Drosophila melanogaster: one gene and its partner. The protein of the gene in region 1 purifies or fractionates together with the protein of each later gene. This does not show direct contact. Each region holds a gene or a part of one and is shown on either strand. Other genes may lie near its edges.

Region 1 (6,648 bases):
TTAGTAATGGTTTTAGTTTAACAAATGGTTATGAAATCATTATGATAACAAAATAGGCCAAAAAATCGATTTTATCAAAAATGTTTATAATCATAACTTGGTCAAAAAGTGTCACACACCCATAGAAATTACAGTTTTATGCAACTAATGATCATACCTAACGATCCCCATCACTCTGGGCCCGATCTGCCAACATCAGTTTTTTACCAATTTTCGCCTTTTTTATAAGGGGTTACATCATTAAAATTTGGCAAAAATCGAAAAAAATTGAAATTTTTTCGACAAAAAAATTATATTTTTGGCTAAAATAATGTTTTTTTTTGAGTGGAAAATCAGGTTATTTATCATAACGTGGTCAAAAAGTGTCACACACCCATAGAAATAACAGTTTTATGCAACTAATGATCCTACCTAACGATCCCCATCACTCTGGGCCCGATCTGCCAACATCAGTTTTTTTACCAATTTTCACATTTTTTATAAGGGGTTACTCATTAAAATTTGGCAAAAATCGAAACAAAAATTAAATTGTCAGTGGTGGATTCTAATTGATTATAAATGTGATTGTAAGTTTAATGAGACGCTACATTTGGGATTTTGATAAAAAATATCGATATTTTCGCCTTTTTTTGGGGAAAAACTTGGTCAGGAAGGACCTTCAGTGCCAATTCGAGTATGCAAAAAATACCTTTCCCACAAAACGGCTAAAAATGAATTTTTTTTGTTGGTAAGTACTTACTTTGAAGAAAATGTTATTGTGTATTTCAAGGTGCTTTTAAATAATATTATGCGAAGTCTAACATGTTGGGAATGTATAACAATATGGTATGTGCTATGTGGCCTAAAACAATGTCTCCCTCATGGGCTTGTGAACCAGGGCATTGAGCTCGGAGTCGCTGGAGGAACTTTCGGCGGCATTTGCTGCCGTGAAGCTACCGCTCACCCGACGACTAGTCGAATTCTTGCGCTTCTTGCGCTTTCCCCGCTCCAAATCCTGCTCCACGTCCGATCGGGAGATCGTACTTGATCGATTATCGTCCGGCAAGGACTTCAGTTCGGGCTCATCCAGCTCCTGGAAGTCGCTGGCAATGGTGGACGAAGAGGGCTGCTTCCTGGCCGCACTGAAGTAGTCCTCGATGGCGGGATCCAGTTCCAAAACCGGACTCTGCTGCAGTGTGTAGACCTGGGCACTCACTTTCATAGTGGGAGGTGGAAGAACTGGTGGCTTTGGCTTCCTTTTCGCAAACGGGCTTCCGTGTTTGCTGCCCACTTCGTCATACTCTGGATCAGTGAGGAACTCCACGCTGTCGGCCATCATATTCACCCTCTTGAAGGGCGGAATCTCGGCGATCTTTGGCTTGCGCTTTGTGTAGGGACTGTTCTCATAACTCTGGAAGTTTCCGATCTGTTCAGCACTCTGAAGATTTTGGGTCTTCAAGTGGGCGGCGGGGAATCGGGAGTCCTCGATGCTAAAGCGTCGACTGCCCGACTGATTGTACTCCATGTAACCAGTGCGTCTGTACGGTCCGTATTGGGCGGTTCTTTCCTTGTCCCGGTTCGAGAGCATCTCCACGCTGCGGAATCGCTGGCGAGAGTCCAGTTGCAGTCCGTCCTCCGCCTCCGACTGGGATCCATCACCATCGGCATGGGTCTGCGATCGTCTGAGCTTCCGTGAGTTGCGGGCTCTTTCTGGTCCCGAGAGATCCATCATTGACTTCACTGGCCTGACTAGTTTCGGCATGCGCAGGGCATCTTCGTAGGAGGGCAGCAGGCTGATCTCCTGGGTATGTTGCAGGCTCGGCGTAGCCTCCTCCCTCAAAATACGTTCGTTGAGATCTCGTCTATGTATCAAAATGCTGATTAGAATTCTATTTTATGGAATAAGATATACTACTCACATGCGTCGTAGCTCATCATCATTCTCCTCGTACTCCCTGTCGCTCTGCCGGACTTTTCGCTTTCTCAGATACTTTTGCAGACAGGCATAGCCCAAAACCAGAGCACCCAATCCGAGGAGAGTCAGCATTATGATGGACCAAGCCTTCTCGCCAGTACTGCTCGTCCTGGCATTCAAAATCCACACATCCGCACAGGCAAACTCCCAAAGCTTTCCATAGAAAACGGCTGGCGCAGCGCAACGCAAGTGATTTCTATCTTTTATCTATAGAAGTGAAATGAAAGTCATTATTTGTAATCCATTCGCTTAGGAAAGATGCGAACCTTAGCTGGCTTTGCTGTTAGATAGTCGTAGAAATCAACGAAGAGCGGACTGTGGCAGTCACAAATCCAGGGATTATCGCCCAACCACAGCTGATCCAAGAACTTATTGCCGTCGAAATAATTGGGCGGAATGGGACTCGTTAAACGGTTGCCATTCAGATGTAGATCCGCCAGTTCGGGGAACTCTCTGAAGGTGTTGTTCCTTACAGTAGTCAGCCTGAAGAAATAATATCATTACCCACTATTATACTAGTCGACTGTTATTTGCTTAATGCTCACCTGCAGTTGGCTAGGTTTAGTTGCTGTAGGGTTTCCGATCTCATAAAGGTGGGCATATCAGTGATAAGATTGTTGGATAAGTCCAACTTTTGAATGACCGAAAGACTCGAGAGTGCAGTGCTTTCAATAGAGGTGATTTCACACCAACTCATGTTTATGGTGCGCACCGAATTGGACACGATTTTCGTCAACTTCTGCAGCACATTTCTACTGAGATTGAGCTCAACCAGCACGTCATTGTTGCGTATGAAATTTCTGTCCAGTCTGGCTATTTCATTGAAAGCCAAGTTCAGCTCCTTTAGGCGCTTCAACTTGGCAAAGGCATCTTGGCCAATGTGTCGCAACACATTCTGTGAAAGATCAACCACCTCCAGCATGGAGTTGTTGGCAAATGTATTGACATCCACTACTCTCAGAAGATTTCCCTGCAATCGCACCTCAGTGAGTTGTGGCAATCCACTCAGTTCTATAGAATCCAAGTTGCAATAGGAAACATCCAACTTTCGCAGCATATAGGTCAGAATGGGATCTTCTGACAGGCTGTCAAACTGGAGTTCCGTATTCCGGGACAAGTTTAGGGCCTCCAGATTTTGCATGGCGTCCAAAAAGAATCCGGACAAATTCTTAATGCTGCAGTTACTCAGATCGAGAACCCTCAGGGTTCGCGAAGGTAATGCCGCTATTTGAGCCAATTGATTGTTGGCCAGATTAAGACGTTCCAGATTTGGCAGCTGATTAACCATCTGATCTCCACCGATGCTGGAAATTCCGCAGGAAGAAAGCCCCAAATCGGTCAGGGATGAACTGGTCAGCAGTTCGAAGCTCTCTCCGTTGCCAAAACTGCCCAATCGATTGCCATCGAGACCCAAACGCTTCAGGCTTGGAGCATATTTGAATGCCTCATTGGGACTGAGTGACTCCCAGGAATCTATGGAGTTGTTGGCCAGCAGCAGAGTCCTCAGAGATGTGAATCCAATCAGAGTCTTTGCACCAATGCTTGAGATATAATTGCTGGACAAATCCAAGTATATCAAGGAGTCTATGTCCGCATATAGGGTTGGAAACTCCAAGAACTTATTTCCCGACAGATCCAAATGCTCCACGGGAATGCCGTCGAAGTTCGGATATGTCTGCAGACTCCTCCTGGAACAATCTGCGTACAAGCTGTCCACCACCCACGTGCAACGACAGGGCCAAGGACAGTTGACTGCCCGGCATGAGGAGATGACCCCCAAGACCAGAAGTGCAAGCTCCAAAACGATCCTCATCTCTGCAATATAGATGGTTGTTACTGGTGGTGTGCTTCCGTTTTATTGCGCATGCATTTTCATTAGACCCTTATCAACGTTTTTTCACTTGCTTTTTGCTTTTGCTTAAACGCAATTTAAAATTGCGACGATTTCAAGGCGTTAGTGACGTCACAACTAGGCCGTTCTTATTCACCTGTTGATTTATTATGGCTCGTATTTCCCCTGCGCGCTGCACTTCGCTTATCTTATCTACCACAAAACTAGAGCACCCAAACAGAAAAGCCAGAAAACCGGGATAAAAAGCCAAAAAAAAACACACGAAACTGACGGAGAACTTTAATATCCGATTTTAGAATTTAACTGCCACTCCGATGCAGCCACGCCCTCAGCATTTTTCACTTTGTGGTTAAATATTTTCGGAATTCCAGTGCAATTTTTTTTGGCGTTTTCAAGAAGTTTTCCGCGCAACTGCAGGTCTAATACTGCCAGGCCGAGGAAAATTACTCACCTGCTGGTCGCTGGCATCGTTCAACGGGTTTCCGACTGATAAGATAAGCCGCTGATAAGAAAGCCGTTTGCTTGGAGCAATTCAACAGTGTGGCAACGTGTGCGAATAGTGAGCATTCCCGGATCGATTGTCTGGGTTACGGTTGTCGGAAAATGCAAGAACTCTTTAGCGGGTATTCAAACCGTAAGTGTCACCTGAATTTTTACCGATTTTAACGGAATTCGCGAGTATTCTGGTAGCAAATCATGTTCTGGTCTAGTGTTGCCATCGAAATGGTTACTTACTAACGATTTTATTAACTTTGAGCTAAACTATTGAATAGCGTGTTTGTATCCTTTTACTTGCTTTTACTTTAAATTGATTTTTAAAATTTGCTAAGTACTTTTCCAGCATATGTCAACAAATCAACCGTGAGTCTTATGAGATGGCAACAAATGGAGTCGTTTAAGACTGAATAAACTTGTCACCCGGCGAAGTGCAACCGTTCAGATGGAGAATCCGGGACAACAGCCAGACGACTCCTTTTTCGTCTCCGGCAGCCGCTGATAGGGCATTAAAATTACCCATTCCCTTCGGAGGATTCTGTGCAGTTGGGTCCTGCAGACACCCGTAACCGGATTTATTGTAATGAAGCGTGAGCAAAACAGAAACGACGCCTCAGACGACAGCGCGATAAAGATGCAGTGCGAAATGAAAAGTAAGACGAACCCATTCCCGTTCCCGTTCCCATTCCCATTCCCATTGCCACTTTCATTCCCAGGGAGCAAATAAAAAAGCAGGACTTCCACCACTGACGTGTTGACAGCAACATATTTGTGGCTTGATTACGGTGAAAAGCGCTAAGGCAACAGGAAACATTCGAATCTCAGAAATAGCTAAGAGCAAAACACGAATTTAATGTACTCTTTGATGGAAAATTTAATTTCCAAATTTAGAACAACATTAAGAGATCCTCAAACGTATCAAAAAGTATGGAACAGTAATTTTGCTTCGAAAAACCTGGTAAGTTAGTAATCAAAACTCTATTAATACCATTTATATAAACTTGTGTCTTGGACAAAAACCTTTTTATTTTGAAGATTTGATATTCCAATTGAATACAAGCATCCAAAGAATCTGAGGGTATTAAACGCAAACGATTTTAAATGGTTAGCGACGATACAAATAGCTATAAGTTGATGCCCCGCTCCGGGGGTTGGGTGTAGTTCAGGAGCAGCGGCCAACAAAGACATCCAAGGAGAATGCAGAAGTCAGCGTAATGCCGCGACTGATAAGCTCGTCAGGATACGACCCCGAACCCCTCCCCTCCCTCATGGGGTTTCTCAAACTGCTCTCGATTGGAAACGATTGTGGGCCAGATATTTAAATTCGGTTGCCACGGATAAGTGCATGGGATAATGAGCAGGGATGCGCAGCGCCGCTCAGGCACTCACTTTTCGCGTGTCCTTGCCGTTTTAATGAAGCGCAACGGCTTTGTTGCCGAGACGCCTTTTGTCCTGGACCGCCTTCCCCCTCGCCCTCCCCCGTCCTGCCGGCCCACTTGCCATGGGATAATTAGCGGACGCTGCGATGCAAAGTCATCGCCGGCGTTGGGAACTCGCGCAGTTGAAATCACAAGTTAATGCCGCACGGTCCAAGGACTTGGTCCTTTGTGTGCTTTTGTTAATGGATTGATTTTGATTTTGAATTTCTCCCGTCTAATCTGGGCTGACTTAGAGCGCTCGCCGCCTTCGCTACATTTTATTGGGCAGTTTCCAGCGATTTTTTAATAAGAAATGAAGTGCTTTTTATTTATTTTCGGAGCGTTAAGTCGAGGCGCAGGGAAGTTGGCATCGGTATGCCGGCGTCTGCCACCCGCAGTGCAGTCAAAGCAAAAGTTAAGTTGAATGACAGCTGCGGTGTCGTGAGATAAGCACACCACCCACTCGAACGCCCAACTGTCCATCTGCCGGAGGCACCAAGAAGTGAGGAGCTGATAAAGTGAAATGCGAATTCAGGTGGAGCCAGGATGGCCGGAAGTCCTGGCGAATGGGAAATGGACATAGACATCCTGCTAGCTTGCTAGCTTAGCATTTCCGCAGATGTCATAAAGATATCCCTGCCATTACGACTCTTCTAATCGGAGTCATCAGCGAAATGTGGGCCACACACTCTAGCATTCCGGCCTTTGATTATATTTTTATGCTTAAGATTCCTCTTTTTTTATTGTCACGGGGTTGGAGAGAAACAATTTGCTTCTATCTGCAGGACGATACGTCACAAGGAGCAGCATTTTTGATACACAAACATTACATAAATGGGGGAGGGGTGCGATAAAGCAAGGGAGTATGCCCCGCAATTTGCATATTCTTAGCCATGGAATGCCTTATAGACAATTATATTTATTATTCA
Region 2 (5,996 bases), on another chromosome or scaffold:
GGAATAAAGGCACTCGTCATTGGGGCATATGATAATTAGTCTCTAAATTCTTCATTGTATTTCTTATTGATTACATTGTTTATTTTTATATGGTGGCTAAAGATTACCTATGACAAACTCTCAAACACCTGGGCTCACTCTAAGCATATGCGTTTTTTTCGAGTGCATTGACAGTCGTGTCGATTGCAAGTCTTGCCTGGTGGCCCCTTATCCACAGGCTTGCTGGGTTTGCTGCCTATGCATCAGCATCAGCCCCATCCTCGGCAACGAGGACCTGCAGCCTTCGATTTTCGTCCTGCCCTCCTCTTTGTGTGTGACTATATCGCAACGGGTGTGAGCGAGTAGTGTTTGAGCGATCGACCATGAAGCCTTCATTATTGCATTTCATGATTTTGCGGTTCTTTATGCTCGTTCCTTTACACTAGGCGGCGACACAAACAGGGAAGCTTCTGCGGGAAAGCCGATGGGGCTGTGGGCGTGGCTGGGGCAGGACACTGGACGAGAAGCGTCTGCCATGTGCCATTTGCCATGTGTTTGGCCTGGCCGGGACTGGTGTCGACACTTTCACAACATCCACACTTCCACATCCTCATCGACAGCAACAAAGACATCGCAGTCAGGGCCAGGATATGGCATATGGCTTTGCCCCGCGTCCTGCATTCACTTCCATCTCGAGAATCGACTGAGCGGACTCGTGTCCGTGTCCCTCATTCAAATTTTCAATATTTTCCATGTGTGCTGCCGGTCGTTATCACGCATTTCCTGCCATTTGCAACCTCCACATCCACATCTACATCTACATCTGCATCTACATATCCATTGCCATTGGCATTGGATTGGTAACGGGAATTGCAGCCGCAAGACACTGGCTACGTGGCCAGCAACCGACTTGACCAATTTGCCGCCCCTGCGGTTCCGGGTTGAGCGCATTAGGCCGCACACTGGGCCGCTGGTCCTGGCTCCTCGCTGGGAATTTCCACTCCGCATAAATGCAAAACCGATCTTGAGGGCACCCCAAACCGAATCGAAGTACAATGGCATGTCAGTTGGGGCAGCATATGGGGCATATATGCCACGTATGACACGGGCTGAAGGTTAGGGGGTCAGCAGTTCAATCAGTGGCACGACGCAGGATACTTACCACACATGTGGACTCATTTCCATATGTGTGCGATACCACTTTCACAGATTAAAATATGATTAGAGTTGGGGTAAGGGTTAATAACCTTCTGAGGAAGAAATATATTTGCCTAACATTCCATTTAGACAAAAACAAACTTGAAATTAATTAATTATCTATCAAAATAGAATCAATTCTTCGGCACAAGACTGCGTATCTACCCATCTCCTTCTACATATCATAGCTTGAAAATTTCAAAGCTATCAATCACATTTGATTTTCAAGCTGACAAATTCCATCTCAAACATAGAATTATTCCTATATAATGCTGGTACAAATGGTAGTACAAACGAGTGCGCATTTCAAATATAGTATAGTATAGTTCTATCTATATATATATATAGATAGTATGTTCAACTATCAAGCTCTAAATTTAACATTTCCTTCAGCTTACATTTCGGAAAGCTTTATGTATAACAAAATGATATCAATCTAACTTTTAAAGTATGATACAACTGCCGAACTTTAGTTCAAGACAAGTAAGAATTTGTATAGCTACTCAATGAACCTTGAATTGAAATAGCCAATAATGCCTTAGGTGATCTCGATAACACTACTGAACATATACTGATTTCACAAACTCATCGCGCACGCCTTCGCAGTACCAATACCCTGCTGATGATCAGTGACAACTGGCTTCCTATCTGACTGACCCCGCCATAATCCTAGTGGCCATATCCGCTGGGGAGCAACAGCATCGCATTCGGCTGTTAATGCCACTGATTGCTAATAAATTGAAAACCATTTCAGCACAGACACGACCCGAAGGCAATAGGTGGCAGAGGATTTGCACTCGACGCCGGACACACCAGCCATCCTCGCATGGGGATCAGAAGCAGAGCAGAGGCAGAAGCAGGAGCAGGTGGACGGACGGGAATTCGAATCGAATCGCAATCGGAATCGGAGTCGAAGCCCCGTCAATGAATATGCAAAAACAAGGCAAACAGTGAATAAAATCAAAATAAAAACCCATTTATCAACACGCATGGCGTGGTCCAGGATGAGGACGCAGTCTATCCATCGCCGGCGTTGGAGGTGGACAAATGTGAGGCGATTGCTGGTGAAGCCGTTGGCCACGTGTTGGCCAAAAGGGAAAAGGTCACAAAAGCAGGTTAAGCTGCTTTTTTAAATAAAGCGCACAGCACGTTAATGCCCGCTGGCAGGACGAAAAGAGAATCCCGCCAGGACGCGGGGTCTCATCCATAATCCTGTGCCACTTACAGCCGGGCCACATGCGAACCACTCCGCTGGCGACCAACGACTGCGGACCACTGCTCCAGCCGGTTCCAGCCGAACGCCACCGACGTCAAACGATTGCCTGAGCCGAGCGGTCACGAGAGGACAACGAGGCTACTTCGGATACGGACTCGGCTAGCGCCGAGCTACCCGATTGGTGACGCCTTCGGCTTCGGCTGGCAATGCGGACAGTGGCGCCGTAATCCGTTCGCTGGATTTTTTGAATTAGTTGCGTGTGGTAGCTTGTTGACATCAGTACCGGGTACCGGATGCGGATGCGGATACGTGCGTGGCCCGCAAATCTCTCGCCAAATCTCGACAAGTCCTAACTTGACGCGACCCGCAGTTCATAGTTTAGAGTTCAGCTGTTCAGCGGCTGGTGTGTGACATCCCCAACTGACATCTTTTTTGTCATCACTCTGTTCTGTCCAGCTGTGTTTCGGTTTTTTTTTTTTTGTTTTATTGGTCCGGGAAATCACGTGTGTGTTGTTTTGAGTGCGAGGTGAGTGATTTCGTTGGTTTTTGTTTGGCTGGGGCCCCCGCAACAGTTGCCAGTTGCGCTTTAAACTACTCCTCAAACTGAGCCGCAAGCCGAACCATCCAAACCTCCAATCCAAACCAAAGCAAACCCAACCGAGCCCAAACCAAAACCAAACTAAGCCCGGCTGATAACTGGCTAAAACCTGACCTGCGGTCCTCGATTGCCTGCTGTTGGTGGAAGGTGGACGGTGGCGGATGGTCGATGTTGGAAGTTGGATGGTCAACGGTTGTCCGTTCAGCTAGTTTTGTGGTCGCTTTGACGTGGTCGCGGGCAATTTGAAAGCCAACACCGAAACGCCGATTACGATAAGTGCAGTCGAATTGAAAGGAGGCGGAGTGGAAATGGGATGGGAATGCGAATGCGAATGCGAATGGAAATAGGAATCATCATAATCATCAAGAGCAGCAGCAGTAGCAGGAGCAAGCAGGAGCAGACTGCAAACTGCAAAGTGCATATTCGCTTTCCGCCTGATGTTGTATTTCATTTTGCCATTCGCATTCGCATTTCGCTTTCTCATCCTTTGTCGTCCTTTTTAGTTTTAGTTGCCAGCAATTGCCGCTGCCAGTTTGCAATTAAAGACCAGCTCCATTCAAATGGCAAAAGTGAGGGGCTGAGGCGCTGAGGGACTAGCTGAAGGACTAACCGAGGGATAACCGAGGGATAACCGAGGGATAACCGAGGCATAACCAGAGGCAAAATATTAAATACTAAATGCCAGCTGCCAAGGGAAAGGCAGTTGCAGTTCAGCCCGCCTGTTGCCGTCGCCTGTCAGCATTTTGCTAAAGTCACTGTCCCACTCGCAGTCACAGTTGCCATCACCATCGCCATCACCATCGCCATCAGCATCAGCGCCAACACCAGCCCAGTCTCCCTCAGGTGTCCTGAGCGACCATCCAGCCACTTTGAGCGTGAACAGGTGAGTGACAATGTGAAAAGGGATCCTAAAGGGATGCTAGCCTGATCGCACAGGCTGATGCCATGTGGGAGGCCCATTCCCGAAAACAAACTGAGGCAAGAATAAAATAGAAATATAAGTGATCCTATGGGGTTTCCAAGCGATGTCATTTATAAAAATAAACCGACTTTCTTGGTACCTATAACTACTGTTACTATAAATTACGTTTATAAACACTATAAACACGTTTTTCCAAAAATGAGGTCGATTTTCTTTTACCTTTTCTTTAACTAGTATCCTAATTGGGTCAAAACTGAAAGTAATTATAATGCTCAGACGTTTTAAGCATGAATATTTAATTCGAGAAAAATGGCAGCCATCTGCTATAACAATTTTCAAAGCCAATAAAAGCTCATTAAAACTCTTCAAAGATTGTGCTACTTTAAACTGTCATTAGTAGTATAAAAATACATCATAAAAGTTTCAAATAATAAGTAAGGCCTATGGTATCGATCAATTTACTCTATTGTAAACAATTTGACAAATTTATAAAGTTTGTAGTCTTGGGATCAGCAGTGTGTTCCACTCATTATCTGTCGCCATTAACTGCGTCCTGTATACTGCTATCTATGGATGCTGTTGACTCGCACAAAAAGCCAGGATTGTCTGTTCCCTGAGGGAGTCACACTTTTGCCGCTTCGGGACATTTGTACACCTAATGCATAAAACAATGTATGTATGTTAATTTGCGCGAATACATAAATGTTGATATCTGGCTAAAAAAGAAATATACTCGGATAGTACGTTTCTAATTACTCTAAGCCTTATCCTGAAAATTGAGTTTGCTGGTAAGGATCCATCTCATATCTTGCCCTCCATAAATATTAGATCCATGATCATCGAATGTGAATATCTGTAAAAACCAAAAAAAAACCGCCTGCAGAGATGCCGATTCAACCAACCCCAGCCCTACTCAAAAAGCTCCATTTGGAAGATTTTTTCTTCCTCCTTTGACTCGGACTTCTCCTCGCTCTGTTGATCCTTATCCTTTTCTAGCAGGAAGATTGTCTCGCCAACGAACGGATTACTGCCTACCACTTCGACCTCATTCGAATTATCTTCGTCCTCGTCGCTCAGCATGAGCCGGTATGTAGGAAGCCCAAACTCTGAGGATTCTCCAAACATATCGTATTCCCTGGCCTCGTCGATGTCCTCGCCGTCGGACTCTACCTCTGAGCCCTCACTGTCGCCCTCACAGCAGAGGATCTCGTGGGCAAGCAGCGAAATAGTCTCTTCGCAGAAATTCTCCTGCTCCTCCTCCAAGTCGCTGTCTGATTCTGCCGACAGCAGACTGTACATGCTCGTCTGCGGACTGGTGTCGGGATCGGCCACTGTGCAGCTCTCATCTGGATCGGATGTGCGGTTCGCTATTAGTGGAAACACATTTTTCTAGATTGGTAATCACCTTCGCTATCGCTAGTATAGTCGTCGCTGGTTAGCTCACTCTCGCTAGTGGAAATATCCGAAACGTCCGCGTTTATGTTGATCTGGTCTCTGGAATTGGCAGGGTCGCTGGCCATGTTCGATTGTGTCTAATCCCGGCTCCTATATCTGTACGTCCATGTGCTGTATCTCTTAGTTTCAGACTGTCTGACTGTCTGACTGTCTGGCTGTCTCCTGGTGTGATGTGATTCTGATTCTAAACTTGTTTCCATGCGTGCTGGAAATGTTTTGCCCGGCAAATGCTACTGGGATTAGTTTTGGGTTTCGGGGCTTGGACTATAGATTCGAGATGGGTGCAGGAAGCGACACTGCCAGCACGTAATGTCCTGGGCGCTTCCTTCCAGGACGGCGAATTAAATTTTATGCCAACTGCAATGCCCTTAAAGGCGAAGGCAGAGAGAGAGAGAGAGAGAGGTCTTCGAAACGGAAAAGGCCACGGAGACAGGGCCAAGATGGAGCCGTAGTTGGAGACCGGGCTAACTGCGGCATCGTCACAGGCCGCAGGCCGCGCTCCACATGCACACTGGTTGCCGAAAGGACACAGGACTCCCATAGCCGCACACATACACACACATTCGTACGAGAACGCGTACATGAACTGGCTACCGCAGCAAAGTTACATTTGAAATTTTATTTCCATG

The links. The genes of interacting proteins can lie anywhere in the genome.
Region 2: the proteins of CG5819 (region 1) and CG1504 purify together in Drosophila melanogaster (affinity purification with western blotting; one large-scale study listed by BioGRID). This does not show direct contact.

The regions. Positions count from the first base shown.
Region 1 is NT_033778.4:22,291,046-22,297,693, reverse strand, and holds CG5819 (uncharacterized protein), read right to left. Parts: upstream 4,295-6,648; 5' UTR 4,258-4,294; exon of another isoform or gene 3,770-4,257; 5' UTR 3,768-3,769; coding exon 2,500-3,767; intron 2,438-2,499; coding exon 2,221-2,437; intron 2,162-2,220; coding exon 1,899-2,161; intron 1,842-1,898; coding exon 842-1,841; 3' UTR 739-841; downstream 1-738.
Region 2 is NC_004354.4:20,327,040-20,333,035, reverse strand, and holds the start of CG1504 (uncharacterized protein), read left to right. Parts: upstream 1-2,663; 5' UTR 2,664-2,918; intron 2,919-3,493; exon of another isoform or gene 3,494-3,873; intron 3,874-4,355; exon of another isoform or gene 4,356-4,821; coding exon of another isoform or gene 4,822-5,258; intron 5,259-5,317; coding exon of another isoform or gene 5,318-5,432; exon of another isoform or gene 5,433-5,592; intron 5,593-5,996. Other genes in the region: CG1631 (uncharacterized protein), read right to left, coding at 4,822-5,258, 5,318-5,432.